Cricetulus griseus: one gene and its partners. The protein of the gene in region 4 interacts with the protein of the main gene of each other region in a biochemical or structural test. Links are inferred from orthologs where the notes say so. Each region holds a gene or a part of one and is shown on either strand. Other genes may lie near its edges. The genes, in order: Pten, corticotropin-releasing factor receptor 1, beta-1 adrenergic receptor, Magi3, Adrb2 and Rps6ka1.

Region 1 (5,444 bases), on a different chromosome or scaffold from region 4:
GGACAGCCATTGACTAGGTGCTCAGATAAGTCACTTGGCTGAGTCTACAGTAGGTGGGGCGCGTTCACCAGTTCAGGGGCAGTGACTGGAAGTTTGTTGCAACATCGGTAAGCCCGGGCAGCCAGCAGCAACAGGAGATACCCTTTTGCCCCGCGAGTACAGATCTACAGAGGGTCCATCTCATTAGCAAACGAGATGCGTCAGATGCCCTCAGGCCCAGCCTCTTCTCCCACGGTTGAGAACGCGCGGTGTGGGCAGACCCAGAGCAGGACTCTCGGCCTTCTGGCTCGCTCCATGGGTTGCAAGCGAAAGGGAAGCGCAGGCTGGGGACTCTCCGCGTCACCGTGCACAAACCGGCGGCGGCCAGCAGAGAGGGGTGGCCGGGGCACGTGCTTGAATGTGGGTGCTTGTGTAACCAGCTCCCCAGGCGCTTGGCCCCGACAGCGCTCCTGCGGACCGCTCGTGGGTGCCGCTCTCCGCTCCGACCGGGATGAGCAGGGGTCCGGCTGCCCCCACCTGGGGTGACCACCTAGCAGAGCAGAAGGGTCCAAGCTCTTGCCTCAGGAGCACACAGATAGGGGAATGGGAATTTGGAAAGTTCCCCAACTAGGACCACACGTGACCTCCTCCTGAAAGTAGTTCCGACCGTGGCTCGTGTATCCTTCCACCTCGCCTTTGAGCCCTCCCAGGCCTGCTCGCCCCGCCCACTCGCAGGCTGCAGCTTCCGACCCTACCATACTCCCCACCCCGGCCCAGTAACCGGCTCCCGGGCCGTGCACGGTCCGAGTGGAGCAGAACCTGGCCACAGCGATCCAGTTCTGCTGGGTTTTCAAAGCGGCCACAAACGGGAGGGGATGCTTAGCCACTTCAAGACGGAGGCTGGCTGATCCGGTGGACCCACGGCTGCGGGGAGCTGCGGGACTCGCCACCCAGCCGCAGAAGGGTGCGTGTGGGGTGCACCCTCTTCACGGAGATGCACTTCGTGTCCACCCAGGGGTGTCCTCTGGGCCCCGGATACTCAGGGGAGACGTGTAGGTACACGCCCCGTATGCACAATCATCACGCTTGGCTGGGAGCGTTCACCTTTCGAGCAAAAGATCCCAGCCGCCTGGGAAGCGAGAGGTGGGGCAGGGAACCCGAGCCCGATGAGGTGACCCACGCGGGAGACACAATAGGGGGTTGTTCTTTGTGCAAAGCCTGACACCTTGAGGACACCGTGGCGGGAGAGGTGCACCATCTAGGTAAAGGCTGTCGCTGACAAATCCTAGCGAAGCACTGCAATCTGACCACGGCGCGGGGCAGGGGACGCAAGCCGCTCCAAAGGAACCCAGGGGCGGGCGGAAGGAGGCGGGATGGGTGTCCCTGCCGCAGGGCCGTGCCCCTGAGGCTCCTGAGACACGGACCAGCACGACCAAGCTGGTCCGATCCACCGGAGAGCAGCCAGCGATCCCGCTCGGCGCAGCTCTCCGCGGCCACAGCCCGCCCTACCTTGGCCGGGTGTCTGCGAGCCGCGGCCGAAGCCGGCGCAGCTCCGGGAGACAACCGCGGTCACACTGCGCATGCTCCGCGCCGCGCGCCGCCCCGCCCCCGCCCGCCCGCGCCCCGCCCCCGGCTCCGCCCCGCCCGCCCCCCCCCCCATCCCTTCTCTCCTCCCCTCCGGCTTCGGAGGCGCCCGGCTCTCCTGGCGGGGCGGCGGAGGGGGCGGGCCGGCCGGCCGGCGCACGGTGATGTGGCGGGACTCTTTGTGCACTGCGGCAGGATACGCGCTTGGGCGTCGGGACGCGGCTGCGCTCGGCTCTCTCCTCTCGGAAGCTGCAGCCATGATGGAAGTTTGAGAGTTGAGCCGCTGTGAGGCCAGGCCCGGCGCAGGCGAGGGAGATGAGAGACGGCGGCGGCCGCGGCCCAGAGCCCCTCTCAGCGCCTGTGAGCAGCCGCGGGGGCAGCGCCCTCGGGAGCCGGCCGGGCGGCGGCGGCGGCAGCGGCGGCGGGCCTCGCCTCCTCGTCGTCTATTCTAACCGGGCAGCCTCTGAGCGGCTTCGGAGAGAGACAGACGGTGGAAGCCGCGGGCTCGGGCGGGAGCCGGCGCAGGCTCGGCGGCTGCACCTCCCGCTCCTGGAGCGGGGGGGAGAAGCGGCGGCGGCGGCCGCGGCTCCGGGGAGGGGGTCGGAGTCGCCTGTCACCATTGCCAGGGCTGGGAACGCCGGAGAGTTGCTCTCTCCCCTTCTCCTGCCTCCAACACGGCGGCGGCGGCGGCGGCACGTCCAGGGACCCGGGCCGGTGTTGAGCCTCCCGTCCGCCGCCGCCGCACCCCCCCTGGCCCGGGCTCCGGAGGCCGCCGGAGGAGGCAGCCGCTGCTGCGAGGATTATCCGTCTTCTCCCCATTCCGCTGCCTCGGCTGCCAGGCCTCTGGCTGCTGAGGAGAAGCAGGCCCAGTCGCTGCAACCATCCAGCAGCCGCCGCAGCAGCCATTACCCGGCTGCGGTCCAGGGCCAAGCGGTAGCAGAGCGAGGGGCATCAGCGACCGCCAAGTCCAGAGCCATTTCCATCCTGCAGAAGAAGCCTCGCCACCAGCAGCTTCTGCCATCTCTCTCCTCCTTTTTCTTCAGCCACAGGCTCCCAGACATGACAGCCATCATCAAAGAGATCGTTAGCAGAAACAAAAGGAGATATCAAGAGGATGGATTCGACTTAGACTTGACCTGTATCCATTTCTGCGGCTGTTCCTCTTTGCTTTTCTGTCACTCTGATAACGTGGGAGTAGACGGATGCGAAAAATTTCTGTAGTTGGGGTGACTATAACGTTTAATACTGGTCACATTTCTAGATCGTCAATTTTGTGTGTCTCTCCCGGTGTATTCAACCTAGGGAGTGTTCAGCTAGACGGAACTCATGCCTGCTTGCAAGTGTCAAGGCACGGATTGGTTTCTTGTCTAGCTCTGTGGTCTCTTCCTAAAATCTATTGTCCGTGAATGCAGAGTTTTGTACATTGGATTAACGAGCTCGTTAATCCAAGCCTTCTAAATGAACCAAATTAGACGCTGGTGAGGTTGTGCTTATTTCTATTAGATCGTGACTTAGGCCCTAGATCTAGGGTGTAGATCAGATTAAAATGAAAGTCCGTGCTGCACGAAGGCATATTACCTCAGAATCTTGCAGTGATTGTTAGTTTCCTGGGTTGCGTTGATAGATTTTTCTAAAATGTAACTTGTGGACTGATTTGCATAACTTTATAAGCATAGTCATCCTCAGAGTAGATGGTGCACTTTTGAGGGTAAAAGTAGGTTTTGTGTGTTTAAACTGGGGTAATTACTTACCACTTTGGAACTACATGTAGAAGTTCTGTAGTTTGAGATCAACAGTGCCAGAATTTGCGTTATTGGAGCTTTTAATAGAACTTTGTTAAATTAGACTTTGTACGTGGGATGAGGCATGAGCTTTGCATTTCAGCGGTATTTTACATTCATTTGGCTTTGCCATACATGATGGGATAGAAATTGAATAGTTTTTGGTCCCAGGTGATGTCCGTGTGAGTTCAAGGATATTGTGTGTGGCGAATGGTTGCAGAGGTTAAACCTCAGCTCTCACATGAAATTTAACTATTATCGTGAACAGGAATTTGCTGCTCAAAATTTTTGTGTTTCAGGTGCTCTGACCCGTTGACTGCCCATGGGTTTTACCCTGATTTGTATAGAATGTCAAGTATAATTTAACCAGCTAATGCCCAGAAATACTAGCAAGAGTGGATCACTGACTTCAGATTGTAGGTATGGTAGCTTTTTAAATGCAGTAATTTCCTGAGTCAGCTTGTTGAATAAGACAGAAACCCAAGAATTTTTAACGGTGTATAGTTCTGATTGTCTAAAAGTTAGGTCTTTGTACTTCAAAAGTTCGTGGTTATCTTAAAGCATTTATCTTTGCAGTTTCAGGTATGGTATTGGTTTTGATCAGGGATAGGAAGAGAGCCCTCCTTTTTTGGAGGAAGTATTGACAGATATTGAGAGCTTTTGGGAGGCCGGTGTGTGAAGAAAACACAAGTTGCTGCTCTGAAGTGACAGGGCTTTTGTTACGACCCCAAATTATTTTTTCATGTGACTTGTAGCAATGAGCAGAATTTAGTTAAAATTATGTAATTGCATAATTGTTAATAAGATAGTCTTAGTAAAAGTTAATTATTAGTAAATACCAGCAGACATTTCTTAAGGTAGAAGGTCAGAGACTTGTCTATACATGTCCTGATAATAATAAGAGCATTATGGAGAGGCTTTTTTTTTTTTTGTAAGAAAATGTTTTCATTTGGAAGAGGTTTGGTTTTTTTTTTTTTTTTTTGATTGCATTAGCAGCATATAAACATGCATAGCTAATTTTGACCGAGTTTTTGTTCTGAAATGAAGATGAAACTCACTGAAGAACTGGCTTTAGAAGTAGGCTAATTTTCTGTTAAGAAAATCTTTAATCTGTTAAGGTATCTTTAATTTTGAAGTTTGCATTAATTTTCAGTTTATATTTCAAAACTTTACTCTGGATGAACTTGACCTTTTCTGAAATGTAATTGTAGAAAATTCTGGGTTATCACTTGCTTCAAGGCAGTTGGTATAAATTAGTGATAGTAATCTAGATATAGAAGGAATTAGTCCGGTATCTGTTTAATTAAAAAAAATAGGCCCTCATTCAAAGAAAAATCTGAATGCCTGGTAGTCAGGCTTCTCTTACCTTCCACAGTACCCTTATGTTTTGCTGTTCCCACTTGATTTAAAATTATCAGGTGTGTCGGACTTCAAGATTGTTTTGCCAAATTTTTATGTGTGAGCAGTGACATGATTGCAGTTCCTTATTTGATTGCATAGTACATGGGCTTCTGCACGTGCCATTTCTGTGAGTTAGAGCTCTGAAACTGTACTTTTAGTATAATGTGCATAGAAAGCAGTATCAAATATTGCATCAAATGACTAATAACACTTAATTTCTAGAGCTGTGGTTTTATTGAGCCAAATGTTGAGTCTATAGGGAGAAAGTCGGTGAAGCCGTTGCTCTTCTGAGAGTTGTCCTCCCAATGATTTTGATAAGCCAGAGGGGCTTGCTTGATTCCTCATCAGTGTGTTCTGTGTTTGGGGGCAGGAGTTAAAATGCTCATTGAAGACTTGAACTGGTCAGTGTTGGCACCGAAGCTGGCCAAGTTAAGTTCCTTTCTGAAACTAGTAAATGGGATATTTCTATTCGCTGTAGAAGGGTCAGCAATCAGCAATGATGTACTTTCTCAGGAAAGCTGTGTTTTCAAATCCTCTGCAAAATTGAATTGTTGTAAGAATTTGTTGGTTGGATTTGATTCTGAGCAGTCTAGAAAATAGGCTGAATGTGAGATTGCAAGATTTCATGTGTTTAAAGCACATGCAGAGCTCAGGCTTCTGTTACAGGCCTTTGTTTGCTAGATTAGGAACCCTTTCAGA
Region 2 (5,617 bases), on a different chromosome or scaffold from region 4:
TGCTCTGGACCAACCCAGGCCTCCGTTGGGAGCATCCCTGATATCTGCAGGATACAGGAGAGTACCAGGAGCACACTTAAAGGGTATACTGAGTCACTTTGCTTTGGATGGCTAAGGAGGGGTTCTGACCATAAGGACAGCTGAGTCACCCGGTGCTGGCCAGGGTTAGAAAAGACACAAACTGTGTGGGCACCTATGTACCAGAACAGAAGGGACTGTGTGGTGAGAGGTGACAGAGGGTTACATAGATGACATAGATGGGGATGTGTCTTCAAGTGGGAGCTGGAAAACAGAAGCTTGTTTTATTAGATTGATAAGGGTAGGTGGTGGTGGTGGGCTGGTATTTTTCAGCAGAGTTTGCCATGTCTTTAATTTGCCGGTGGCTGAAATGAAACTGATTGGTTGATTGATATTGATTTGTGTGGGGTTAGAAGGTGAAGGGAAGCAGGATTTTCTAGAAGGGACCTCTAACCCCAGCAGCCATCACCTATTTGTGGGGATAGCACAGGTTTCCTACTGACTCTTAAGTGAACTGTGTAGCTTTGTCAGAAGGACACTGCTCTCTGCTTAGCTATCAAGAGCCACCAGCTAACCCATGACTTCCTCTTCTCTCCACATCTGCCTTTGCATTGAAAATGGGGCCAATGATATTTCCTCACCCTCTGGAGACTGGGAAGCTTAATTACTGATTAATAAAGTGTGGGAAATTGCTCGGGGCCAGAACAACTAAAGGGTTTATTCTAATCATTGCCAAGGCCCAGGAGTGAGTTCCCTGTCCCCAGGGCTGATAGCAGAGCAGCACCTGTACCTGCACAGAATGGGGGGACTGGAGACTGTTGAGTTTCATACTTGTGTCAGTAAGAGTCCTGGGGTGAGATGGAGGGAGGGTGCCTGAGGTGGGGGAATGGATGAAAGCCCACTAAGGACTTAAGGGTATAGTGTGGCTCTGTAAGTCACCAGGATTAGGGATGGCTCTTATGGGAGTGGGTCCAGGCTGTGGTCAGGAATACAAATGCATGGTGGGAAAGAAGGCAGAAGAGCCTGCCTTTGTCATCAATATATGACAGAAGGGGAAGTGAGTACTGGTGAGGCTGGGGGGACTGGCCCCTGAAGGGAGCCAGACAGATGGACAGATAGACAGATGGGGACACATGCACACACACACACACACACACACACACAGAGAGAGAGAGAGAGAGAGAGAGAGAGAGAGACTGACTTAGCCCATCCACAGTCAAATTAAAACTAGGGCTCCATTTGCTTCTCAAGCTGGATGTGGTGGTCCTTATTGATAATCCTCTTGATCCTAGGACCCCTAAAGAGGGAACAGGAGAGCAGAGTGGGGTGACTATGTGGAGAACACTCCCAGGGTTGCCATCCTACCTGGGGATTCTTCTCACGGTGGTTAGGTCCCCAGTGGAGAAAAGACAGCCTGTCGTAGTTCCCCTCTCCCACCCCACATGCTTCTGGACCCCATTTGCAGAATGAATCCCAACAGACGAGGCCCCAGCCCATCTCCACCTCCCTAGTTAGGTCAGCTAACAACTACTGAGTATGTAAATCCTCATTGAGCGCCCATTGTGTACCCAAAAACATCATTCATTAGCCTCATTGCCAGAATGAATACAGTGTAAGCACAGACACAGGGGAGGCCTGCACTTGCTTTAGAGCAAGGACACTGAGGCCCGGAGAGGTCACATGGCCCACTCATCCAGACTCCCACCTGTAGAGAGGATAGTAACCCAAGAAAGTGCTCATCATTGTTGGGGTGGGGCTGTTCATTCAAGAAGGGATCGTCTTCCGGTCATAGGACTCATGGCTGAAACCCTGGAGTCAGAGTAACACTGGGCCCTCAGTAGGGTTAAAGGCCTTCCCTGGAATAGGTGACCCATCTTCCCAGACACAATCATTTCTTTAGCGCCTCAGTTTCCCCATCTTCAGTAGCCATATCCATGCTGTCCCCGGGGTGAATTAAGCCATTGTAGATATCGCAGGACATCGGAAGAGCTTGAAACATGAGGCTCAATTTGCAATGACTGGTAGTCATTGACAGGGATGAAGGCTCAGGAGGAGCTCATAACCACGGGCCTGAAATACCACAGAGGTAAGGAAGGTGGAGGGTTGTGTGCAAATGTGTGTGCATGCACTTGGAGCGACCGCGTTAGACATGTTTGGGGTCTGTGCCTCCATTCCAGGCCCTGCGTGAACCAGGCAATTTCAAACATTCTGGATGGGACCAGGAGACTGGGCAAGGGTAGGATGCTGGGCAGAGGAGGGGGGGCAAGAATCATCAGCTCAGACTGATGAGTACCCCCCTAACAGTGTCCTGTACCCCCTTGTGTCCACAGGCCCTTCTCCTCCTGGGGCTGAACCCTGTCTCCACCTCCCTGCAAGACCAGCGCTGTGAGAGCCTGTCCCTGGCCAGCAATGTCTCTGGTGAGTCATCCCTGCCCCTTAGCTCCCAGGTTCCCACAGGATCTCCTTCCCTAGAGCTCTGAGCAGCGACCTGTATAGAAAAATCTCTGGAACTGGAGTCAGTGAGGGTAAAGGGGCCTGTAGTTATCCAGGAGCCTCGTCTGTGGGCACAGGAAACACACTCAGCAAAGGTGCCTTGTGGTCACCATCCCAGGGGGCAACAGGGGAAAGCCCTCCAGGCCTCACTGCTGAGGATATTGGCAAAAGGTCCAAGGCTGCTGCTGTTGCTAAATATGCTGGAGAGTAAGGCTACATGCTGCTAGCACCAGGGATTTGAGATCCTGTCACCCATCTGACTCCAAAGGCAACTGAGGCACAGACAAGCACTAAGTGCTAGAGCCTGGGTTGCAAAGGCAGTCTGGCTCCCTGGTGATGCTCAATACCTGCCCAATAGAAAATTCTAGGTAAGGGGCTGGAGAGATAACACAGTGGTTAAGAGCACTGCGCGTTCTTCTAGAGGACCCGGGTTCAGTTCCCAATACTGGTACTCACAGGAAGATGATGCCCTGGACTTCTTTGGGCTTTGCTTTGCCCAAATTGAGGGAGGGGGATCCTGAGGTTAAATGCACTGAGTTTTGCAGGTTTGTTTCATAAGCTGTAACATCCAGACAGCTACTGGGTATAATCATGGGTAGCTTTTTCAAAGTACTTACTGTGCACCTAGGAGAAAGAGAAAGTACACCCTACGATTGCTTGCTTACTACAACGGAGGGTGTCAGGGAGGCTAGGATAGGGGTAGGGCAAATCCCAGAAGCCTTCCTGAAGGAGGGGTTTTTAAGTGAGCCTAGAGATAGAGCAGTCAGTGATTGAACACCAGTGGCTAAGTTGGCAGAAGGACTCACCAAGGTGAAGAAGGCCCTGGCCGTCCCAGCATTGGACTACCCACTGGCTGGGTTGAGCAGGGAGTGCGTTGCTCTCAGCCTATCAGCAGTGGCAGCCAAGGACAGGCAGGGAGGATGCCTGGAGGAAAGGTCCCCGTCCCTCCTCTCCACCCCAGGCCAGGTCAGGCTCCATTAACTTGCTCCTATTCAAGAGAAGTGACACCCTGGAGCCACACAGGTGTCACCTGTCCTTGGAGGCAGCAGGCTGTGAGGGATGATGTTCATTCTTCCGTGATTTGTGCTGGATGCCCCACCCCCTCCCAGCCTGCCTGGCTCCATAGGATGCAATCCATCACCTTCCACAGTGGCCTCCGCTCTGGCCATTTGTCATCTGATGGGCATTGGCAGAGACAGATGGTGAGAGTGGGGTGGAGGGCCCGGGACAGATGGATGGGCGTCTGGCCCGAGTGGCTGGCACTGTGCTGAAACCTTTGGGGGCCTTGCACATGCCTCATGCCAGAAGTAAGGAGGGGCTAGGTTCCCATGGCCAAGGCCCCCATCATGTGACAGATTATAGACTTGGCAACTTATAAAATCATGGCATGAGTATGACTGTGCCAGAAAGTAATAGAATTACTGACTAGTAACACCCCAGATAAGTGGAGTCAGGGCTCAGGAGGACGTGGGGTCACTAGTTCCCATCGCTGTTCTTAAGGCGGTAACGATGAACAACAAACCGTAATAATAACAGCTGATTCGTGTGGATGTCCACTTCATGTTGGGCACAATTCTAGGTGCTCAGCCTCATCCGGTCATCACAATAGATTCAGCAAGGATTTTGGTTCCCGCTTTAGAGAAAAGGAACCTTACACTCAGAAAGGTTGAGTAACTTGGACTGAGCACACACAGTTGCCAAGCACTGGCCACAGGGGTTGAGCCAACTGAGCCTGATTTCAGATTTAATACATTATGTGGTCACTTAAGAGATCTGTCATATCCAGGGCCCAATGTTACTTGGAGACACAGTGTCACTTGGAGGTGCAGTGTCAGCCCTGCAGTTTTCCCTGAGCACACTAAACTTGTATATGGCCCTATGGTTTCTTCAGCACCTACTATGTGCCTGGACTTCTACAAGGTATTGAGTGCAAACATCAGGAGTGGTCAGAGCACAAGGCAGGAAGCCTCACAGGCTTCTACCTCTCTCTTCGTGTGGCCCACACTCTACAGAGACACCTTTCTTCACCCTGCTAAAGAGGCAGCTTAACCCGAGGTGCCAAGACTGCCTGCCTGCCCCGTGCCTCTGTCTGTGCCGTGTCACCCAAACAGAGCAACTGCCCTTTCATCCCAGAGCACTCTCCTCCTAGCAGGAGTACCCATCTTTGAGGTTGCCCTAGAGCACCTTCCTGCTCCCCAGGAAGCCTCGGAGGAGTGTCCCCAGTCTCAAATCAGATAGGTAGATCAGATCTTCCTACCTGAAAGGGGGCTGCCAAGTGCTCACACCCTCTGTGGTTCACTCAGAAGCGTGTGATGGAAGACCACTCCTAACTGGGACAGGAGCATGGTTCTAGTTTCCTTCCAGCATTACCTACAGCACGAGGGCCCTCTGCGCACATTAGGGCACTAAGCTTGATAGGGAGGGAATTGTGTGGCCAACTTGACAGAAGAAACCAGTGCCCAACTGTGCACAAGCAGAAACTGGGCCACCCTTCAAAGGGCCCTTATCTGTTATCTGCGTGACACAGTGACGAGAATGTCAACCCCAGAGACCTCAGCAAACACCTGCCTCAGGACCTTTGTATCGGCTGCTCCCTCTTCACCATCTATGCCCATGACTCCCTCCCTCCCTTCAAGTTCATAATTAAACTTAGTGTTTTAGAGAAACTCCAAATTAAAATAGCATCTAGTTCGTCTTTATTTCCGTACATTGTTTGTAGTATTTCTCACAGGATAGCACATGCTTGCTCAATCACTCTGTCTCCCGCTAGGATGCAATCACCCTTGGGACAGGACATCTTTTATTCTTTCTGTTTTGTTTTGTTTTGCTGTTTTTTCGAGACAGGATTTCTCTGTGTAGCCCTGGCTGCCCTGAAACTTGCTCTGTAGACCAGGGTGGCCTCAAACTTACAGAGATCGCCTGCCTCTGCCTTCTGAATGCAGGGATTAAAGACATGTGCCACCACTGCCCGACCTGTTTCATTCATTTTATATCTCTAGTTCATGCCATTTCTTAGGTGACTTGAGTATTTTGAATTGTTTTGTTTTGTTTTGTTAAGAGAGGGAAAGAACATAAAGTCGGGTTGGTAAGGAGGAAGCAGGAAGGA
Region 3 (4,551 bases), on a different chromosome or scaffold from region 4:
TAAGAGTATAAAAAGTAAGTTCCCAACAAAGCATCAACTCAATAATGTAATGGACAAGAGAATTGAGTTTGAATTTTATTTTAGCTTTTTAAGATCTGCCCACCTCCCCATCCCATTAAAAATATTTAATTTTTGTGCAAGTTAACGTCTTCTATGGACTTTACAATGCCTAACACTGTGCAAAATGACATTCTCAACCACTGATTTTTTTTTGTCATCTTTGTTTTTAGCCACATGTGCAATAATCTCAACTGTTTCCTTTTTTTTTTTCTGTCCTATCTTCAGTTGACAGAGTCACATGTCACAGAGAGAGACTCAGCGCCTGGTCCTTCCAACTAATATTGATACATAAATAAGCTGTTTAATATAAACAAGTCTTTCTATCTTGCTGTGCAATATGCACAGAGTGAGGTAGAAAACCCTCAGCAGGACCACCGAGGCGCGCAGGGGACAGGGTTTGCCCTCCAGAAGAAAGCAAGGTGAACCGTGTTTCACGAATAGCTTAACGTTTCTCGAAACCAGATTTGTCTGTTTCCGTATCCATCTTTTCCCCTTTGCTTTAAGAACCGGAGACACCAGTACTCCGGAATCAATATGCAATTTCTTTAGAAAGCAAAAGAAAACATTTCCTGGCTAATTATCACCGCTCCCACCAGCACCCCAAACTGGAGCTGACTACTTAGGTTCCTAGATGTGGAACCGGAAGCCAGGTGGTAGACTTCATTCCCCCTTTACCCTCCCCACCTAGTTTCCACTCCGGTCCTTGCAGAAAATGTCAAAACCCATCTGGAAAACAAAACAAAACAAAAAACAAAAGCTAAAGGTGTATCACGAGAACACACAAAAGGCCGAACCCCAGAGAGAAAGGAACCCAAGACAAATCAGAAAGCCACACTCTCCCAACTCCTCCCAAACTTCCCTTTTTGCGCTGCGGACGGTCCGGGGCTTTGCTGTACGTCTGGGATGATTCAGATTCATCTGTGAGTTCACCTGCTTTCGGTCTTGAGTAAACAGAGGTCTCCTCCCTCCTCTGCGGAGCGGCTCAGGGGCGCCCGGCAAGCTCTCTTCCTCTAGGGACGCGGAGCCTGTGTCCAGGCCGGGACCGTGGGGCCGGCGTCCGTGCGCCCGCCGGGAGAGCCTGGCTCTCTACACCTTGGATTCCGAGGAGAAGTCCCGGCGCCCCGGCTCGTCCAGGCTCGAATCGCTGTCCACAGTCGTCACCCCGCCGTTGCAGCCAGCCCAGGGCTCCAGCAGGCGCGCGGGTGCCGTGATCCCCGCATCGTCTTCGTCGTCGTCCGAGGGAGCTCCAGGGGACGGCGGCGGCCCAGCTCCCGCCAGGCAGCCCGAGGCGCGCGGCCGGTCCCCGTGGGATGCGCGGCGTCTGCGGACGGCCCGGCGCGCGCAGCAGAGCAGGCGCTGGAAGGCCTTGCGGAAGTCGGGGCTGCGGCAGTAGATGATGGGGTTGAAGGCCGAGTTGGCGTAGCCCAGCCAGTTAAAGAAGACGAAGAGGCGATCGGGCACCAGGTCGCGGTGGAAGGCCTTCACCACGTTGGCCAGGAAGAAGGGCAGCCAGCAGAGCGTGAACACACCCATGATGATGCCCAGCGTCTTGAGCGCCTTCTGCTCGCGCAGGGCCACGAGGCGCGACGGCCGCCGCTTGCTGGAGCGCCCGTTGGCCAGCGAGTCTGCGGGGCGCGGCGGCCCTGGCGACGGCGAGGGCGCGGGTGAGGGCGGCCGAGCGGGGCCGCCGAGGAAGCGGCGCTCGCAACTGTCGATCTTCTTCACCTGCTTCTGGGCCTCGCGGAACACCCGCAGGTACACGAAGGCCATGATGCACAGGGGCACGTAGAAGGAGACGACGGACGAGGCGATGGCGTAGGCCCGGTTGGTGACGAAATCGCAGCACTTGGGGTCGTTGTAGCAGCGGCGTGCCTCGTCGCTCTCGGCCCGCCACCAGTGCATGAGGATGGGCAGGAAGGACACCAGAGCCGAGATGGCCCACACCGTGCACACGAGGGCCCGCGCTCGCGCGCGCGTCAGCAGGCTCTGGTAGCGGAAGGGCGACGTGATGGCGAGGTAGCGGTCCAGGGCGATGACACACAGGGTCTCGATGCTGGCCGTCACACACAGCACGTCCACCGAAGTCCAGAGCTCGCAGAAGAAGGAGCCGTACTCCCAGCGGCCCCACACCACGATGGTGGCCCCGAAAGGCACCACCAGCAGCCCCATGACCAGGTCGGCGCTGGCCAGGGACATGATGAAGAGGTTGGTGAGCGTCTGCAGCCGCGGGGTCTTGGCGATGGCCACGATCACCAGCACGTTGCCCGCCACGATGAGCAGCACGATGAGCGCCAGCAGGAGGCCCATGCCCGCAGTCCACGGCTGCGACAGCGGCGCTGAGCCCTCGCTGGTGGGAGGCAGCAGCGAGGCGGGCGGCGACGCGAGCACCAGCAGGCGCGCCGCGGTGGCCGCGCCGTCGGGCAGCGGCGCGGCCGACGACAGGTTGCAGGGTTCGGAGGCGCCCAGGGCGAGCGCCCCCGCGCCCATGCCGAGCTGCGGAGGCCGGGGGCGGGGGGTGTGGCGGGGCTGGGCCGCGGCTGGGGAACACCCCAGGAGCCGGGGCTGCGGGGCCCGCGCGGGAGGTCGCGGCCAGGTCAGGGCAGCCGCGGCTCGGGGCCGGAGGCATGGACTCCGAGCGCCTTCTCCGCCGGAGCCGAGCGCTGTCGCCGCCGCCGCCGCCGCCGCTGCTGCTGGAGCCGCTGCCGCTGCTGGAAGAGCCGCCGGGACCTCAGCATGTTTCTGAGCGCGCGGGGCCGACAGCTCCGGCCCCACACCCCACCCCGCTGCCACCCCCCTAGCCAGCCCCGGGGCCGCGCGTCAAGCTCCCGCAGCCAATCGCCGCCAAGGCACGCCCCCGACAACGGTGCCCCCACCCCCCAACACCCGGCACCCCCTCCTACCCGCGATTGAGCCGCTCCAAAGATTCCGGGCGGACTGCGGAGCCAGCATCTCCCCGGCACCCACCGGCTGCAGCGAGCGCGCCCTTTCCGGCTCCGGCAGGCTTCTACCGGAGTCGGGTCTGCTGCGTCCCCGCCCCCTCCAGGGGGTCCCCGCTCGCCCCAGCACCAGCTCTCTTTTTCCCTCGGCGCGGCGCGGCTCCCGCCCTAGCTCTCCTCCTTCCCACCGGCGCCCCGCAGCTCCCGCGCCGCTCTGCCTCCTCTGCCGAGTTCCCTGCAGCGAGGAGGGAATCTTGTTGGCGTTCTCAAGACGCCCAGTGCCTTGAACAGCCTGTCTGCTGGGGTTGGAGGAGTTTAGCTGTGAGACTGGTTCTGCCATCAGGCAGCCTGGCCCTTCCCTGCTCGAGAGGGGACCCGGCCAGCCTGACAGCTTGGGGGGAATGGGAAGTGGGTGTTCGTGGTTAGAGGAAAGTTTCCAGCCAGGCCGGTTGCTGGAGCAGAGCGCGCATCTGTCAGAAAGGCTCTCTGGCTGTTCTCGCTCAGAGCTGTGCTGTCACTCAAGCCCAGTCAATGGAGAAAGGAAGTGAAGGTTTCTGGGTGTTAACAGTCAACGCCAGGGACCAGTTGGACACACACACACACACACACACACACACACACACACACACACACACACACACGCACGCACGCGCGCGCACACGCGCACACGCGCACACGCGCACACGCGCACACGCGCACACGCGCACACGCGCACACGCGCACACGCACACACGCACACATACACACACACACCTCCCAACCCCAGCCAAGGAGAATGACGCCACGGTGTGTGCCGAGTATGAAGGAGAAGTTTGCAACATGCAGTCTAGAGTAGATGACACCACCGCCGCCACCCCGCGTAGAAAGGACACACCGAATGACGCTTCAGAGTTTTTGGCTCTGATTTTAACACCTTGACACCTGCATTTGTGCTCTGTCGCGCCCATTGGGTTTTATAATCCGAGCTGAGTCAACACAAGGAGCTATTCCTTTTGGTTGACGTCATGAACTAGGATTGCAGATTTCTTGGGTAGGGGAGCTGTTTTCTCCTTTGCCCAACTTCGCAGATTCCCCAAACCGTGGGATTAGCTTTAGAAAGACTAGGGAAGAAAATACATAAACACCCAAGGCGATTAAATCTGAAAGTGTTTAAAGTTAGGTCGCGTTTCCCCCTTCACATTGGCAAGTGAATATGAAACTAGAGTTGTTAGCTTTTTTTTTTTTTTTTCCTAGGTGGATTGGATGCTGGAAAGCGAGCATGAACCTCAGGGCTGGGGTGGGCTCCTCTGATTTGCCCCTGGGGATATCCCCCATCTCAGGCTTTAAAAAGGAAATCTGTAATTGAGTTCTTGAGAAGCAAACAGTTTCCTGTCATCTCAGAAGGTGCAATGTTTGCTAGTCTTCCTTGCATTGGAATAGAAAGAATAGCACCTGGAAGGAACAACCACATGTGGCCAGCAGCCACAGCTGTTTAGAGCAACGATGACACCATTTATAAAGTCAAACACAGGGATGTACTCGAGGCTAGGGCTTGACCATTGAGAATGTGACAACC
Region 4 (5,010 bases):
TAATATCTCATTGTTCATTTTAAAGTTAATAAATACCCTGAGTTGCATGTCACCTTAATATAGAGCTTTAAAAAAAATCACAACATCTTTACTCATGTTCCTTACTATTAAATTTCCCCGTATTTTTTCACTTTCTTTTAAAATATACACTTCAGCCGGGTGTTGGTGGCGCACGCCTTTAATCCCAGCACTCGGGAGGCAGAGGCAGGCGGATCTCTGTGAGTTTGAGGCCAGCCTGGTCTCCAGAGCGAGTGCTAGGATAGGCTCCAAAGCTAAACAGAGAAACCCTGTCTTGAAAAACCAAAATAAATAAATAAATAAATAAATAAACAAACAAACAAACAAACAAACACTTCTGGTAAGTGACACCAGCATTATGGTATCATACTCTTAGTCCCAGTTTTCTGTTTGTTTCCCAAGATAATAACTTTATGTTTAAGTCACTATATGCAATCCAGCAATTGGTTTAAATAAGTGTTCATACTAATGTATTCTCAAAGCTTTATAAGTTGTAATCTCCAAATAAGTCACTTAGCTAAGGCCTCATACCAGGACAGGATAGCTGGCAATACAAAGAATGGCCAATCTCTCAGGAAAGCTTTAGTGATGAACAATCACCTGCCCCAGCTTTACTAAACCAAGTCAAGATTATTAGCTTGTGTTTGAAAGCACCCTTTACAAATTGTCATTTAGTTGCTGCTCTGTGCTGTATTTAGGTTAATATAGAAATGTCACTTTTTCTACTGTCTTAACTTTTGGCAGAAAACTAGATTTTTTTAAATTTCTTCCTTTTGCCTTACTAGAAATCAGTCTCAGGGCCTCACACATGTGGGAAAATCAGAATTTGATTCTTGATTAAGGCTCAGATACTGACTGGTAGCCACATAAAACTTTCCCACGTAGAATTTTTATAAAGTAAATAAAATCATGCATTGTCTCTCCTTATTGCTGTCATCTGTCCACCTATTAGCTATCTGTCCAGGTTAAAGATTTTACAAGTAAGAGTGAGTTAGCAGAATTGAAGGGCTCTGTTGACAATGTAGAAATGAAAAATCCTGCTGTTTCATACAGTTGTAAATGTTTCTTGTCCAGGTTGGTGACCAGATTGTGGAAATCAATGGGGAACCTACACAAGGCATCACACATACTCGAGCAATTGAGCTCATTCAGGCTGGTGGAAATAAAGTCCTACTCCTGTTGAGGCCAGGAACTGGCTTGATACCTGACCATGGTAAGTAAAGTAGCTAAGCATTCTTGCTGGGGAGGGGATGGCAGAAGGAAAGGGAATACCCCTTTGGAAGAGATGGACATTTTATTGGCTAATTTAGAAATGAACACCAGAAACACCTAAGAAAGTTACTATAATGCAAATGATGTTTCCAAATAGTATAATTGTTGCAGTAGAGCATTTGTTACCTTTATTTCATCTGAAATAGTGCTTTTTGGAGAGAAATGTGCCTATAAAATATGAGAACATTAGAGACAAACAAATGTCTTTAGAATAACCCAGCTTTTTTCTCCTTTGCTAATTACACTTTGCCAATAAATATTATTTTCTTAAAGTAAGCTTATCTCAATGAGTGAATGCCAGAACTTTAGGATTTTCTAGTCACTTATCAAAATAAGTTGCTGTAGCCCTACTACCTGGAGATAGGGAGTTAAATCTAAGATCATGTTTGTACTCCTGTATTGATGGTAAATGCCCTTGGCTTTATTATATATTTTGAACTGTCAGTGTTTTAAAAATCACTTTGGGAATGCATGATCCGAACTAAAGGCAGTACCACACCTGTTTTATATGTGTCTCCCTGCATAGCTCCCCATCAGAGCTGTTGTAGAGTAAATGTAGACATAACCTCCTATGGTCCCTTCCAGCTATGATTCTCTGGCTGTGTTACCTTTCACCATCTGCTCATACAGCACACATTCCCATGACATCTGTGCTAACTGTGCTGGTTTGTTTTCACATAGTCCTAGGCTTTTTCTCTTCCTTCTTCAGGTTTGGCTCCTTCCGGTCTGTGCTCCTACGTGAAGCCTGAGCAACATTAAGGCTTTCAGGGCTTTTCTTGGTCTTTCCTTAAAAAGACTTGGTAAATTTGCATGTCTTTTAAATCACTTCTTTCATTTTCTTTTTAATTAAAATGATGCTATTAAATACATCTACTTCTGTCTTCTGCACTTTTTCAGTCTTCTTTTGACATTAAATTTGACAGCCTAACAAGAAAATTATTTACAGTGCCCATAAACCTCATTTGGGTTACCACAGTCTGGTCTTTTTTCACTAGTGATTTTGGCATATCCTTAAGTTAAACAGTAATAATAGATTAATTAGTAAGTTTCTTGGACCAGGTACTTTGGTCCAATTTTATTATTTCTATCTTATTTGGCTTTATGAATAATTTACAGCTCATATATCACCTCTAACAGTACATAAGTGAAACAATTATTATAACAATCTACCCTTCATACATAAGCAGATATCTATAAGCATCTGCCTTTACAGAAAGTGACTTAAATATATACAAGTTATGTAACATATTCCTCCTTGGGCTATGCAACCTGTAACATATTCAAATGGCTGTCAAAGTTCAAAACTCACTGTTCCTATTCATAATTCTTGAGTGTAACTGTGTTCTACTCAATCACTTTTTAGGTGATTGGGATATTAATAGTCCTTCATCTTCCAATGTCATTTATGATGAACAGCCACCACTTCTCCCATCTTCACATTCTGCTTCCGTATTTGAAGAGTCTCACATGCCAGTAACTGAAGACTCTCTGATTAGAGTTCAGATATGTGAAAAGGCAGAAGAACTAAAGGACACTGTACCAGAAAAGAAAAGCACTTTCAGTGGAAGCCAGCCTGAAATGAAGCATCAGACCGTTCTCCAGAAAAATGTGAGTAAGAAGGATCCACCCAGTAGTCAAAGGCATGGTGAGAAGAATCTACTAAAAGGAGAAAATGGTGTCACACGAAGAGAGAGATCTGCTAGTCCCAAAAAGTCAGCTAATCAACATTCAGAGGAACATTTGGAAAAGATTCCCAGGCCCCTAAAAAGTGACCCCAAAGGAAAATCTAGAGATCGGTCACTCAGCCCTAGGAAAGGAGAGACTAAAGGTCAGATCACCACTAAGGCGGGTTCTGGACAAGATCCCTGCAGAAAAGGCAGAGGACGATCTTCTAGTCCCAAGAATCAGCAAAAGATTGTAGGCACTGGCCCGTCAAACACTGAAAGCCAAAGGGCAGCAGGCCATACTAGTGACAGTACTGAACAGCTCCCAGATGGGAAAGAAAAATCGGGTGTTGTCAGGAAAGATCTGAAGCAGAGTCAACTTGGAAAAACCAGAACAAGGTCTCCAGAGAAAAAGAGCAATAAAGTTGATGAAACATCTCTTCCATCCAAAAAGATCAGCAACACTGCTAGTAGGGCGGTGTCTGAGAAGGAAAAAGGAAAGAAGCCAACCACAGGAGAAAATGTCCAGATCTCAGCAAAGAAGCTCAAGCAGGAACCTGAAGAGAAGATGACGTTAGGTAAAGCAGAAGATCACAAAGGGAAAGAGCCAGAGGCCACTGACAGATGCAAGGAGCGTGCAGGGGGCATACCTGAAAACAGCTCTCCAGTCAAAAAAGCTCCCATCACTCCAGGGCCCTGGAGAGTGCCACGTGCAAATAAAATCATAGGCCCTGCTGGCATGGCTGACAAACAGCTATGACCTTTTGTATAATACAAAGAAAATTAAGTTGTAATTTTTTACTCAAACACAGCATTCTTTTAAGGGGAAAGGTGTCCAGATAGTCTTCAATACCTAATTGAAGCATCAAGTTAGACAGACTGCATGAAAGTCTTCTGGGATTCCTAAGACCCACCTGGCCCTGGCTGGCTGCCCTTCTTCACATTCAGGAAGGAGCTGCAGCCATGGGCTCATCTGCCATGCCCTGCTCAGGCTGCCCGCTCAGCAATGACATGATCTTAGCAGTATGGTTACAACTCACTTTGTATTCGTGCCAAGTTACCTATTGTATCATGTCTGTTTTATCATTCCCATTCTGATATTTCCAGTCATGAAACAGTTCGGTTTAGCTTGAAGATGTTTCCAATAGCATGTTGCATGCTTACAGAGAGAAATATTTGAGTCCTTGCAGAGGAAGAAATTGTTAGCTCATCATTAAAGTTGGCACTTGCCGATTTTCATAGCTTCTGACCATCCTAGTTTAAAAATGCAACTCAGAAAGATCACTACATTACAGGAAAAATCAAATATTAAAGATGCTTTTTTTATGGCTAAGTAAGGTGTTTCAAGTAACTGTTAAAGATAGTCCTTACAATTGAATGCTCAAAATGAGGAAGTACTAACCAGCAGAATGAACAAACTCCTGCCAGTAGCCAACCCTAATGTAGCTACGGTGTCTCAGATCACCTGTCGTAGGAAGAGAAGTGCAGGAGCTTGTGGAAGTACCATTTGTTTCTCTTCCAAGAAAAGCTACTATCTGGATATTTTGATTATTAATCATTAGTCTTTAATACATAATTGATATTTTTGTGAGGGACTTAATCATGTCAGTTCTACAATCCACTGTCAGATAAAGCACCAGCTCCTGTGGCATAGAGAAAGAAGTTTATCTGGGACCGATGCAGGAGTTTTAGGGATTTAGAAGCAGTGCTTGCATTCGGCTTTCCCAGCAAGTCAGGACTAATATGCTATAGACCACATGTGTTGGAACTTTAATTTTTAGCTAACTATTTAAAAACAGGAAAAGATTTCAGAGTTATTTTCTAAAGTCTAAGAAGAAAAATGTTTGCTGAAAGTTGAAGACAAGTTTTAACCTCATATAATAGATTGGGATGTTCGTTTGGTTCCTTGAAACAGCATTCAGAAGCATCTATAAACACAGACACAATTCTCAGACCAAAATTGTCTACTTAGGGAGTATTTGAGCAATCATTCTGTTACCCTGTGAGTCTGACAAACTCCACTGTGACCAACTGTACTGGCCCCTGTAGGTAACAC
Region 5 (4,517 bases), on a different chromosome or scaffold from region 4:
GGTACTGCCTGGCCAGTATCCACTGGCAAGCTATTTGCCCCATTGAGCCCCACTGGAGAACTGAGCTAAAAATACCCCCATGGGACTATGGGAGGGATTAAATGCAATAATGCACAAAAGGGGCATAGCAGAATGTTCCCTAAATGTCAGCTATTGTTATGTTATTATGTAATCTACAAAGTATGTTTGGTTATGCGGTGTGAAAGACTTGCAGTTTGTCAAAGATAACACATGTGAAATCAAACGCAAAAAATTATTTGTTTTCCCAATAGTCAAAATCATTTTCCAGATGAGGATAGTATTTCATGAATCTAGGTCTTTGTCTGATTTTTTTTAAAGGGGGGAAACAACTATCATTTACTTTCTGTAGTTTTAAAATGGTCTCCAGAGAGCATGTTTTTAATATAATGTTATATGAAATTATGGGTTTTTTTTAAAACAATAGTAGCAAGTCCAACAGTAGCAAGTTCACATGACACAGCTTAAAAGATTAACAAATTATCCAGCCAACACATGAAATGATATTTTTATAGTTTCAATGGAGTAATTGAAGAAATTCTTTGAAATGAAAATTATCTGGACTGGAGAGGTGCCTCGGTGGTTAAGAGAACATTAAGTGCTCTTCCAGAGGACCAGGGTTCAATCTCAGCACCCACATGTCAGCTTATGAGCTGGTACATTTCTGTATCTCCAGTCCTATGGAATCTGATGCTCTCTCCTGACCTTCAAAATAAGCACAAATACAATGAAAAGACATACCTAGAGATAAAACTCCCATATGTGTAAAATAAATGAATTTAACTTAACTTTTAAAAATGTAAAAGGAAAATATTACATTTTCATTTTCAATGCATCCTCATATAACAAGAAAATGATGCCACACTCCCAAGAATTAAAAATAAAATAAAACCACCTAACTCTCCCCTAAATGTGTAAATACTTGAACTCCTAATGAAAGACAAAGGGTAAATTACTGCCTCGATGCCTGCAAGGTCTCAAGGGGGGAGGATGCCAAAACATATTTTTCAAAAAGTGTGCAGAGAAACTGTAGCTATTGAAGTCACCTCCTGTGCTCTTGCCAAATAACTGTAAGGGAATATACTGAGAGTCTGGGAATGGGAAAAGAGGGTGTCATTTATAAGTGCTTCAGGAGGATGCTACCTGGATGTGGACATGGGTGTCTGAATGGTCCGCACACCACATCTCCACATGAGCTCTTGTGTACATTTCTTTCTGCATGTTTCTAGGTATTCCTGTGTTTGTTTTTAGCCACCTTTCTGCATTGGACCAGGAGACAGCTGTCGTCTCCAGCGTGAGTGGGCGCGGGTGTGTCTCGGTGTCTGTGGCTGTGGTGCGGCATAAGTCTGAGCATGTCCACGTCGGCCGAGTGCGTTTGTGCCTGTGTATGCGTGTCCGAGTGTGCTTGTTCAGTCTCTCTTCTCTGTTCCTAAAGGAAAATGCGCTGTGTGCCACCTGCATCCAGAGACCTCAGCCCGCAGAGGTGACCTGCACGGACAGGTAGAAGAACTTCCAGACTGCGCTTGGTTGGTGGATCGTACAGCAGCTCCAGATTTCTGTCTCTGAGGCCCCACTAGGGTAGCTGGGAGGGAGTGGTGGCTTGGCCTCCGGGGAGCACTGGGGCCCCGCCCGGACCAACCCCAGGAGGAGGCGGGCTAGGCAGGGAGGGTTGGCCCTTGGTGCCTCGCCCCTCCGGGCATGCGACCGTACCATTGGCCCAAAGTTGTTGCACGTCACCAAGCAATTCCCCTAAAGTCCGGTGCACATAACGGGCAGGGAGCATTGCGAGACTGCTTCTCCAGCGTTCAGGCTGCAGCTAGCAGGCACCGCGAACCCAGAGCACCCCACGAGCTGAGTGTGCAGAACGCGCCCCCAGCACAGCCACCTACAGCCGCTGAATGAAGCTTCCAGGAGTCCGTCCCCGGCAGGCTGTGCCCCGTCGGAGGTGCACCCGCTGAGAGCGCCAGGGCGCCCAAAGCCAGTGCACTCACCTGCTAGTCTGCCAGCGATGGGGCCACCCGGGAACGACAGTGACTTCTTGCTGACACCCAACGGAAGCCATACGCCGGACCACGACATCACTCAGGAACGGGACGAAGCGTGGGTGGTAGGCATGGCCATCCTCATGTCGGTTATCGTCCTGGCCATCGTGTTTGGCAACGTGCTGGTCATCACAGCCATTGCCAAGTTCGAGAGACTACAGACCGTCACCAACTACTTCATAACCTCCTTGGCGTGTGCTGATCTAGTCATGGGCCTAGCGGTGGTGCCGTTTGGGGCCAGTCACATCCTTATGAAAATGTGGAATTTTGGCAACTTCTGGTGTGAGTTCTGGACTTCCATTGATGTGTTATGCGTCACAGCCAGCATTGAGACCCTGTGTGTGATAGCAGTGGATCGCTACATTGCTATCACATCGCCATTCAAGTACCAGAGCCTGCTGACCAAGAATAAGGCCCGAATGGTCATCCTAATGGTGTGGATTGTATCCGGCCTTACCTCCTTCTTGCCCATCCAGATGCACTGGTACCGTGCCACCCACAAGAAAGCCATCACCTGCTATCTCAAGGAGACTTGCTGTGACTTCTTCACGAACCAGGCCTATGCCATTGCTTCCTCCATTGTGTCTTTCTACGTGCCTCTAGTGGTCATGGTCTTTGTCTATTCCAGGGTCTTCCAGGTGGCCAAAAGGCAACTCCAGAAGATAGACAAATCTGAGGGAAGATTCCATTCCCAAAACCTCAGCCAGGTGGAGCAGGATGGGCGGAGTGGGCACGGACTCCGAAGGTCCTCCAAGTTCTGCTTGAAGGAGCACAAAGCCCTCAAGACTTTAGGCATCATCATGGGCACATTCACCCTCTGCTGGCTGCCCTTCTTCATTGTCAACATCGTGCATGTCATCCAGGAAAACCTCATCCCTAAGGAAGTTTACATCCTCCTTAACTGGTTGGGCTATGTCAATTCTGCTTTCAATCCCCTGATCTACTGTCGGAGTCCAGACTTCAGGATTGCCTTCCAGGAGCTTTTATGCCTCCGCAGGTCTTCTGCGAAAGCCTATGGGAATGGCTACTCCACCAACAGTAATGGCAAAACAGACTACATGGGGGAGGCAAGTGAATGTCAGTTGGGGCAGGAAAAAGAAAGTGAACTGCTGTGTGAGGACACCCCAGGCACGGAAAGCTTTGCGAACTGTCAAGGTACTGTGTCTAGCCTTAGCCTTGATTCCCAAGGGAGGAACTGTAGTACAAATGACTCACCACTGTAATGCAGGCTTTCTGCTTTTTAAGACCCCTCCCTGACAGGACACTAACCAGACTATTTAACTTGAGTGTAATAACTTTAGAATAAAATTGTATAGAGATTTGCAGAAGGGGAACATCCTTCTGCCCTTTTTTATTTTATTTTTTTAAGCTGCAAAAACAAGAGAGGGGGAGAAGCTGTATTTGAGTGCTTATTTGTTTCTTGTGCAGTTCAGTTCCTCTTTGCACGGAACTTAAAAGTTTCTGTCTGAAGCGTGTTGGTCCTAGAGGACTGTCTGTACGTTTAGATGATTTTTCCATGCATCTACCTCATTGGTCAAGTGTTAGGGTATACTATTATTGCTGCTAGTAATTTGTATCAGAAGGAAGTTTTCCTTCCTGTACCCTTGGACTTGACAATCCTGTGTCTTGGACCTTTCTGCTGTGAATATATACTCTCCCCCGCTCCACTTATTTGCTCAAATGGAGTGTTGTAGGCAGTGATCTGAGGGACAGCTTCAGCTGTTTTTTTCTGAGCAAAGTCTAAAGTTTACAGTAAATAAATTGTTTGACCATGATTTCATTGCACCTGTTTCTCCAAAACCTCTTGACTCTGGAGTGTCCTTGTCTTTCCCACTGGAAACCACAGGTAACTATGTGTCATAACTGCTGTGTGTCTTGATGTGGAAGGGTACCAGAATGGTATGCATTGATTGCCTAGCCCTCCCATGTGCCTTTGGATTTCCAAATGCAAACCTGTGTCTTTCCTAATTTTACTTGTGCCCCAAATCAGTTCTGCCTGCTCTCAGCATAACCCAGTGTGTCCTACAGTTGCTATTCTGTGCTGTCACCTCGGAAACCCTGACTCAGAGAGAGAGAGAGAGAGAGAGAGAGAGAGAGAGAGAGAGAGAGAGAGAGAGGAGAGAGTGTGTGTTCTGGGCATACGTTCTGTCCCACATGCTCCTGCTACCTACCTTCCAGCCCTTGTTTAAAAACTGTGTGGATTTATATCACTGGCATCTTTTACAGTAGTGCCCTTTGTACTGCAGCAGGGCTTGGTGTATTCAGGATGAGGAAGATGTTCTGTGTAAAGCTATTCAGGAATCTCAGAATTCCAAGGGAAATCAGAGACCTTGGTCATAGAGTGCAAAGCTTTCAAAGATAGCTGGTGAATAGTTCATACCCTGAACACGGGTTCAGCCTCTCCCTTCTTCCGCTTTCCTGGTCTCCTCTCCCCTGATTCTCTGCACTTCTTTGTAA
Region 6 (4,622 bases), on a different chromosome or scaffold from region 4:
TTCCCTTTCAGAAAAGCCACATGAAAAGGTGGCTAAAGACTTGTAGGTCAAAGAGACACAGGTGTAGCATGAGTTCTAATAGGTCATAATAAAAGCCTGGAGTCAGATATAGAGGAAAATACTGAGAAATCAGACAGGAGGAGGAGCAAGCCAGAGCCACCTCTACCTCACTCACTTCCCAGGGGAAAAGAGAGTTCCTGTTTCCTCCCACTTATATTCCTTTCTCTGCCCAGCCATCTCACTTCCTGTCTGTCTGTGTGAAGTCCAGACCTCAATGGTTAGCTAGTGGCAAGTTCCACCCTCTGATTTTCAGACACGTTTTATTTGAGCCATCAAGATATCACCATACACAGGTTCAAATTTGACTCTTCCTGGGGTGAAATGTAGCCGAGCGGTTGGGCGCTTGCCTGGCACCCACCAGGCGCTGAGTTCCATCTCCAGTGTGATGTAGAACAAAAACTAAGAGAAAAATCCATGAAAAAAACATGCCAGGTATTTTAATCCCAGCACCTGGGAGACAGAACCAGGGGGACCAAGAGTTCAATAGCAGCCTCGGCTACGTAGGCTTGAGGGCCAGCAAGGGCTGGGAAAGACCATCTTCAATGTAAAAGTCAAGCTCAGTGCTCACCACTCTCCCCGAGGCCTGGAGTTCAGTTCCCAGCACTTGGTAGGAGGCTCACAACAGATGCAAACCCAGCTCCAGGTGGCCCTGTGCCTTCTGGCCTCTGTGGGCACCTGGACTCACTCACATGCACATTCCCACACACATATAATTAAAAATAAAAATAAGGCTGGGGGTGGTGGTGCACAACTTTAATCCCAGTAGTGGGGAGGCAGAGGCCATATCTGGATGAGTTTAATGCCAGCCTGGCCCACAGACCTAGTTGTAGGATAGCCTAGACTATGCAGTGAGACCAAACAAACCAAACCAAACTCTGAAAGTTACAGACCCTCAAACAAATAAAAATCCTAAACTCAGCTCTTCTACTCACCAGCCTGAGTATCCTGGACAGTTACTTAACTCTGTGAGCCTCAGTTTACCCGTCTCAAACATTGGTGCTTCCATGAAGGTTCGACCTGATTCTACTATACAGGGTGTCCTGGTGATTAGAAACTTCACAGTGTTCTAAGTTCAAGTATAGTCTCCTCTGAGAAGGCCTTCCACAGGGCACAGGTTCGTCTGGCCATACTGGCTACCGCATCAACTTCCCACAGAGAGGAACAGGGTTGGGCAGCTCCCCGCATCCTTTCGGGACCAGAACATGGAAGGGCATACGTCTGGGAATCTTCTACTTGGGGCCAGACTGCAATGGGGATTTCTGGAACATTCTACTTAGGAGAAAGGGGCTGCAGCAAGCCCATTCGTGAACTGCTGACAAGCCCTGACGTTGGCAGCCTGGCTCTGTCCTCCGGGCCTCACAGACTCACCTTGGCTGTCTCTGAGACCGTGTTCCAGTTTCCCCCGCTGAGGGTGAACCTTCCACTGCCGATCCGGGTGAGGATCTCCTCCGGTGTGTCGCTGGGCCCATTGGCAAATGGAGTATATCTAGAGGAGTTCCCGAACCTGGCTTTAGCCTCTGGCCTCCACTGTGGCACCGGGGGTAGGTTAGGAGGTTGGCAGCTCCCAGAGGCAGGGCCATGGACCCAGACTTTACACTCACCCTGCCAGCATGGTGTACAGCAGAATGCCCAGGCTCCATATGTCACAGCCTTCATCGTAGCCTTGACGTTTCAGCACCTGGCAGGAGGGGGATGGGATGGGTGTGGTCAGGCTCAGGGACATTTGGAAATGATCAGACAGATCCCAGAAGGGTAGGAAGCATGGGCTATAGGCCTTTCTTGGTGCCTGTGACAAGGTCATGAACACTGCAGTTCTAGACAGCATGGGGCCTTTGAGAGCAGGCACCTCAGCTCCTATCACCCCCACTAACCTCAGGGGCCACGAAGTTGGCTGTGTAGCAAGGCGTCATGAGAAGCCCATTCTCAGCCCGAAGCTGCTTCGCAAAGCCAAAGTCACAGATGCGCAGGCACTCAGGGTTCCCAGACTCGTCCACATACAGGATGTTACTGGGTTTGAGGTCCCTGTGGACAACCTAGGGACAGAGGGCTGGGTTAGGAGCTACTAGTGACTCATGCCAACTGTCAGAATTGGGAAAGTCACACAGACTGGAACACAGACCCTGAGAGGGAGGGAAAGTGTTGAAATGGGCCCTATGTCAGTATATTTCCTTAAAAAAATGTGTGGTGGTGTGATTCCACCCTGTGAGTCCCGGGGATCACACCTAGGCCGTCAGGCTTGACAGCAGGCTCCTTTACATGCTATGCTGGACCACCTCACCAGCTTTGTATTGTCTTTCTGAGATCTCCGTGAAGACGCCTGTGGCTCTGAGCCCATCCAAATGTCTCCCCTTCAATCCACTCTTCACCTACTCTTCTGAGGTAGCTCCCTCTTACAGTATGTGTTCTTTTCCCTCCTTTTTAAAAAATTTTCTTTCCCTGTACATCTCAGCCATTTCACCAAAAAAATCTGCTGGCGCTGCTCAGGCACTCCCAGCCCCTCTTCCTGTTGGGGATGCTGTCCCTAACACCACCATCTGCCTGGAGACTCTGCTGTTGCCAGAGTGAGTCCCTTAAACGTTAAGTCAAGGGGTCAGCGAGATGTCTGAGTGGGGACAAGCGCTCCCAGAAAGTGTTATCCTAAGTGTTAAGTGTTATCAACAGAATCCACATGGTAGGAGCGGAGAACCTACTCCCAAAAGCTGTCCTGACAGCCACATGCATGTGCTTCAACAGTATGCGTGTGCACAGACAAACAGACAGACAGACAGACAGACAGACACACACACACACACACACACACAGACTATAATAAAAATGTAAAGAAGAAAAATGGAGGACTGGGTATGCAGCTCAGTGTTACAGCATCCTGCAGGAGGATCAGAAGTTCAAGTTCATCCTTGACTACACAGTAAGTTAGAGGACAACCTGAGTTACACAGTCCTTGTAAACAACCAACCACCCAACCCACAAAAGCAGGGCCAGAAGGATGGATTGACAGGTAAGAACCCTGGCTAAGCCGGTGGTGGTGGTGGCAGGAGGCAGTGGCGCACACCTTTAATCCCAGCGCTCGGGAGACAGAGGCAGGCGGATCTCTGAATTCAAGGCCAGTCTGGTCTCCAGAATGAGTTCCAGGATAGGCTCCAAAGCTACACAGAGAAACCCTGCCTCAAAACAAAACAAACCCCCCAAAAATATCACTTACAATCATGATCTCACTGGGGCTACTCACCACACCTCAGTATGTAGGCAGGTGACATTTTACAGGAGGCAATGGAGACCCTGAGAGAAAAGCTGACTTGTGACAAACAACGGCAGGACTTTAACTCAGCCCTGACCATGGATGCAGGGTCTTTTCAGTTTAGTGTGGCATAAAGAACACTTTTGGGGAACAGAGACAGGGAAGTTTGTGATATTACTCTGCCCTAGCAACAAAGAGATGAGTAACTGACAGGAACTGTGCCTCACCATGGCTGGAACAGAGGGGGTGGGGCACAGCCTGGAAAAGCGACATAGTATTTACTGGCCATCAGGTGTGTCCATTATCACAGAAAGTTACAGTAGGCCAGGCAGGCATGAGAGAAGTCAGACGGAGAGAAAACACAGCAACCAGACTAAACACTGTTCCTGGGGACTAGGTGACAGTCACCATGTAGCAACTCAGGCCCAATATTTTAATATTTTATTTTCCTCCTTCTTCCTCCTCCTCTCCTTTTTTTTTTTTCGAGACAGGGTTTCTCTGTGGCTTTGGAAGCTGTCCTGGAACTCGCTCTTGTAGACCAGGCTGATCTCAAACTCACAGAGATCTGCCTGCCTCTGCCTCCTGAGTGCTGGGACTAAAGGTGTGCGCCACCAACGCCTGATGTACACATTAACTAAAAGAACAAATGTAATCAAACACTGCCATTTTGCAGGTCTAGCAAAAGAATTGATTCAGAGGCTCTGCAAGGATAAAGCCACAGACGAGGGTCTTCCCAATGAGGGAATGGAGTCTTCCCACCTGGCTTGAGTAGTCAGGGACAACACTGAGGCTGTGCCTGCGGATGCTATCTATGCAGGATCAAGTACAACGTCACACCGAGAGACAAGTGACCTCGCGCCCCTGCCTCCACTTCAGGGCCCCACTGTTCTACATAGCTAGCTCAGGTCCTGACTGGCCTCTAGGTATGAGTAGAGGAGAAGCTGAGCTTTCGGACCTGTGAGGACACATCCCAGTCACTAAAACATGGACCTGGAGGCCAACAGTTGGATACAGTCACAACAAGCCCATTTCCAGAGTTCTCCTCTATAGTCTATAAGGACAAAGAAAACTGGAATTCCTCAAAGGCCAGTGGCCTGTAATAGTTAAGTATTCTTGCTGGGTCTATAATCCCAGCCCTGGGGAGGATGAGGTAGGCTGATCTCTGTGAGTTCCAGGCCACAGAGTGGGTTTAGGAAAAGCCTGGGCTACATAGCAAGTTTCAGGTTAGCCTAAGTTATATTACAAGACCGTGTCTCAAATATAATAAACAAAAGCAGGGCATGGTAGTAGCGTACACCTTTAATTCCCGGCACTGGGGAGGCAG

The links.
Region 1: the proteins of Magi3 (region 4) and Pten form a complex in vitro, tested with the Homo sapiens proteins (2 studies listed by BioGRID and IntAct, with this or other methods). The link is inferred for Cricetulus griseus from reciprocal best matches to the Homo sapiens genes MAGI3 and PTEN.
Region 2: the proteins of Magi3 (region 4) and corticotropin-releasing factor receptor 1 form a complex in vitro, tested with the Homo sapiens proteins (2 studies listed by BioGRID and IntAct, with this or other methods). The link is inferred for Cricetulus griseus from reciprocal best matches to the Homo sapiens genes MAGI3 and CRHR1.
Region 3: the proteins of Magi3 (region 4) and beta-1 adrenergic receptor interact in a test that uses a peptide from one of them, tested with the Homo sapiens proteins (2 studies listed by IntAct, with this or other methods). The link is inferred for Cricetulus griseus from reciprocal best matches to the Homo sapiens genes MAGI3 and ADRB1.
Region 5: the proteins of Magi3 (region 4) and Adrb2 form a complex in vitro, tested with the Homo sapiens proteins (2 studies listed by IntAct, with this or other methods). The link is inferred for Cricetulus griseus from reciprocal best matches to the Homo sapiens genes MAGI3 and ADRB2.
Region 6: the proteins of Magi3 (region 4) and Rps6ka1 interact in a test that uses a peptide from one of them, tested with the Homo sapiens proteins (2 studies listed by BioGRID and IntAct). The link is inferred for Cricetulus griseus from reciprocal best matches to the Homo sapiens genes MAGI3 and RPS6KA1.

What each region holds. Positions count from the first base shown.
Region 1 is NC_048596.1:28,806,511-28,811,954, reverse strand, and holds the start of Pten (phosphatidylinositol 3,4,5-trisphosphate 3-phosphatase and dual-specificity protein phosphatase PTEN), read left to right. Parts: upstream 1-1,760; 5' UTR 1,761-1,878; coding exon 1,879-2,701; intron 2,702-2,801; exon of another isoform or gene 2,802-3,717; coding exon of another isoform or gene 3,718-3,764; intron 3,765-5,444. UniProt on the Homo sapiens protein: Dual-specificity protein phosphatase, dephosphorylating tyrosine-, serine- and threonine-phosphorylated proteins.
Region 2 is NC_048600.1:117,186,161-117,191,777, forward strand, and holds the start of corticotropin-releasing factor receptor 1, read left to right. Parts: upstream 1-2,230; coding exon 2,231-2,254; intron 2,255-2,348; coding exon 2,349-2,436; intron 2,437-5,617.
Region 3 is NC_048596.1:4,712,807-4,717,357, forward strand, and holds beta-1 adrenergic receptor, read right to left. Parts: upstream 2,548-4,551; coding exon 1,147-2,547; downstream 1-1,146. UniProt on the Homo sapiens protein: Beta-adrenergic receptors mediate the catecholamine-induced activation of adenylate cyclase through the action of G proteins. This receptor binds epinephrine and norepinephrine with approximately equal affinity.
Region 4 is NW_023276806.1:52,925,178-52,930,187, forward strand, and holds part of Magi3 (membrane-associated guanylate kinase, WW and PDZ domain-containing protein 3), read left to right. Parts: intron 1-1,092; coding exon 1,093-1,231; intron 1,232-1,999; coding exon of another isoform or gene 2,000-2,049; exon of another isoform or gene 2,050-2,090; intron 2,091-2,653; coding exon 2,654-3,714; 3' UTR 3,715-5,010.
Region 5 is NC_048595.1:176,927,454-176,931,970, forward strand, and holds Adrb2 (beta-2 adrenergic receptor), read left to right. Parts: upstream 1-2,026; coding exon 2,027-3,283; downstream 3,284-4,517. UniProt on the Homo sapiens protein: Beta-adrenergic receptors mediate the catecholamine-induced activation of adenylate cyclase through the action of G proteins. The beta-2-adrenergic receptor binds epinephrine with an approximately 30-fold greater affinity than it does norepinephrine.
Region 6 is NC_048595.1:19,424,635-19,429,256, reverse strand, and holds part of Rps6ka1 (ribosomal protein S6 kinase alpha-1), read right to left. Parts: intron 2,094-4,622; coding exon 1,932-2,093; intron 1,739-1,931; coding exon 1,662-1,738; intron 1,547-1,661; coding exon 1,429-1,546; intron 1-1,428. UniProt on the Homo sapiens protein: Serine/threonine-protein kinase that acts downstream of ERK (MAPK1/ERK2 and MAPK3/ERK1) signaling and mediates mitogenic and stress-induced activation of the transcription factors CREB1, ETV1/ER81 and NR4A1/NUR77, regulates translation through RPS6 and EIF4B phosphorylation, and mediates cellular proliferation, survival, and differentiation by modulating mTOR signaling and repressing pro-apoptotic function of BAD and DAPK1.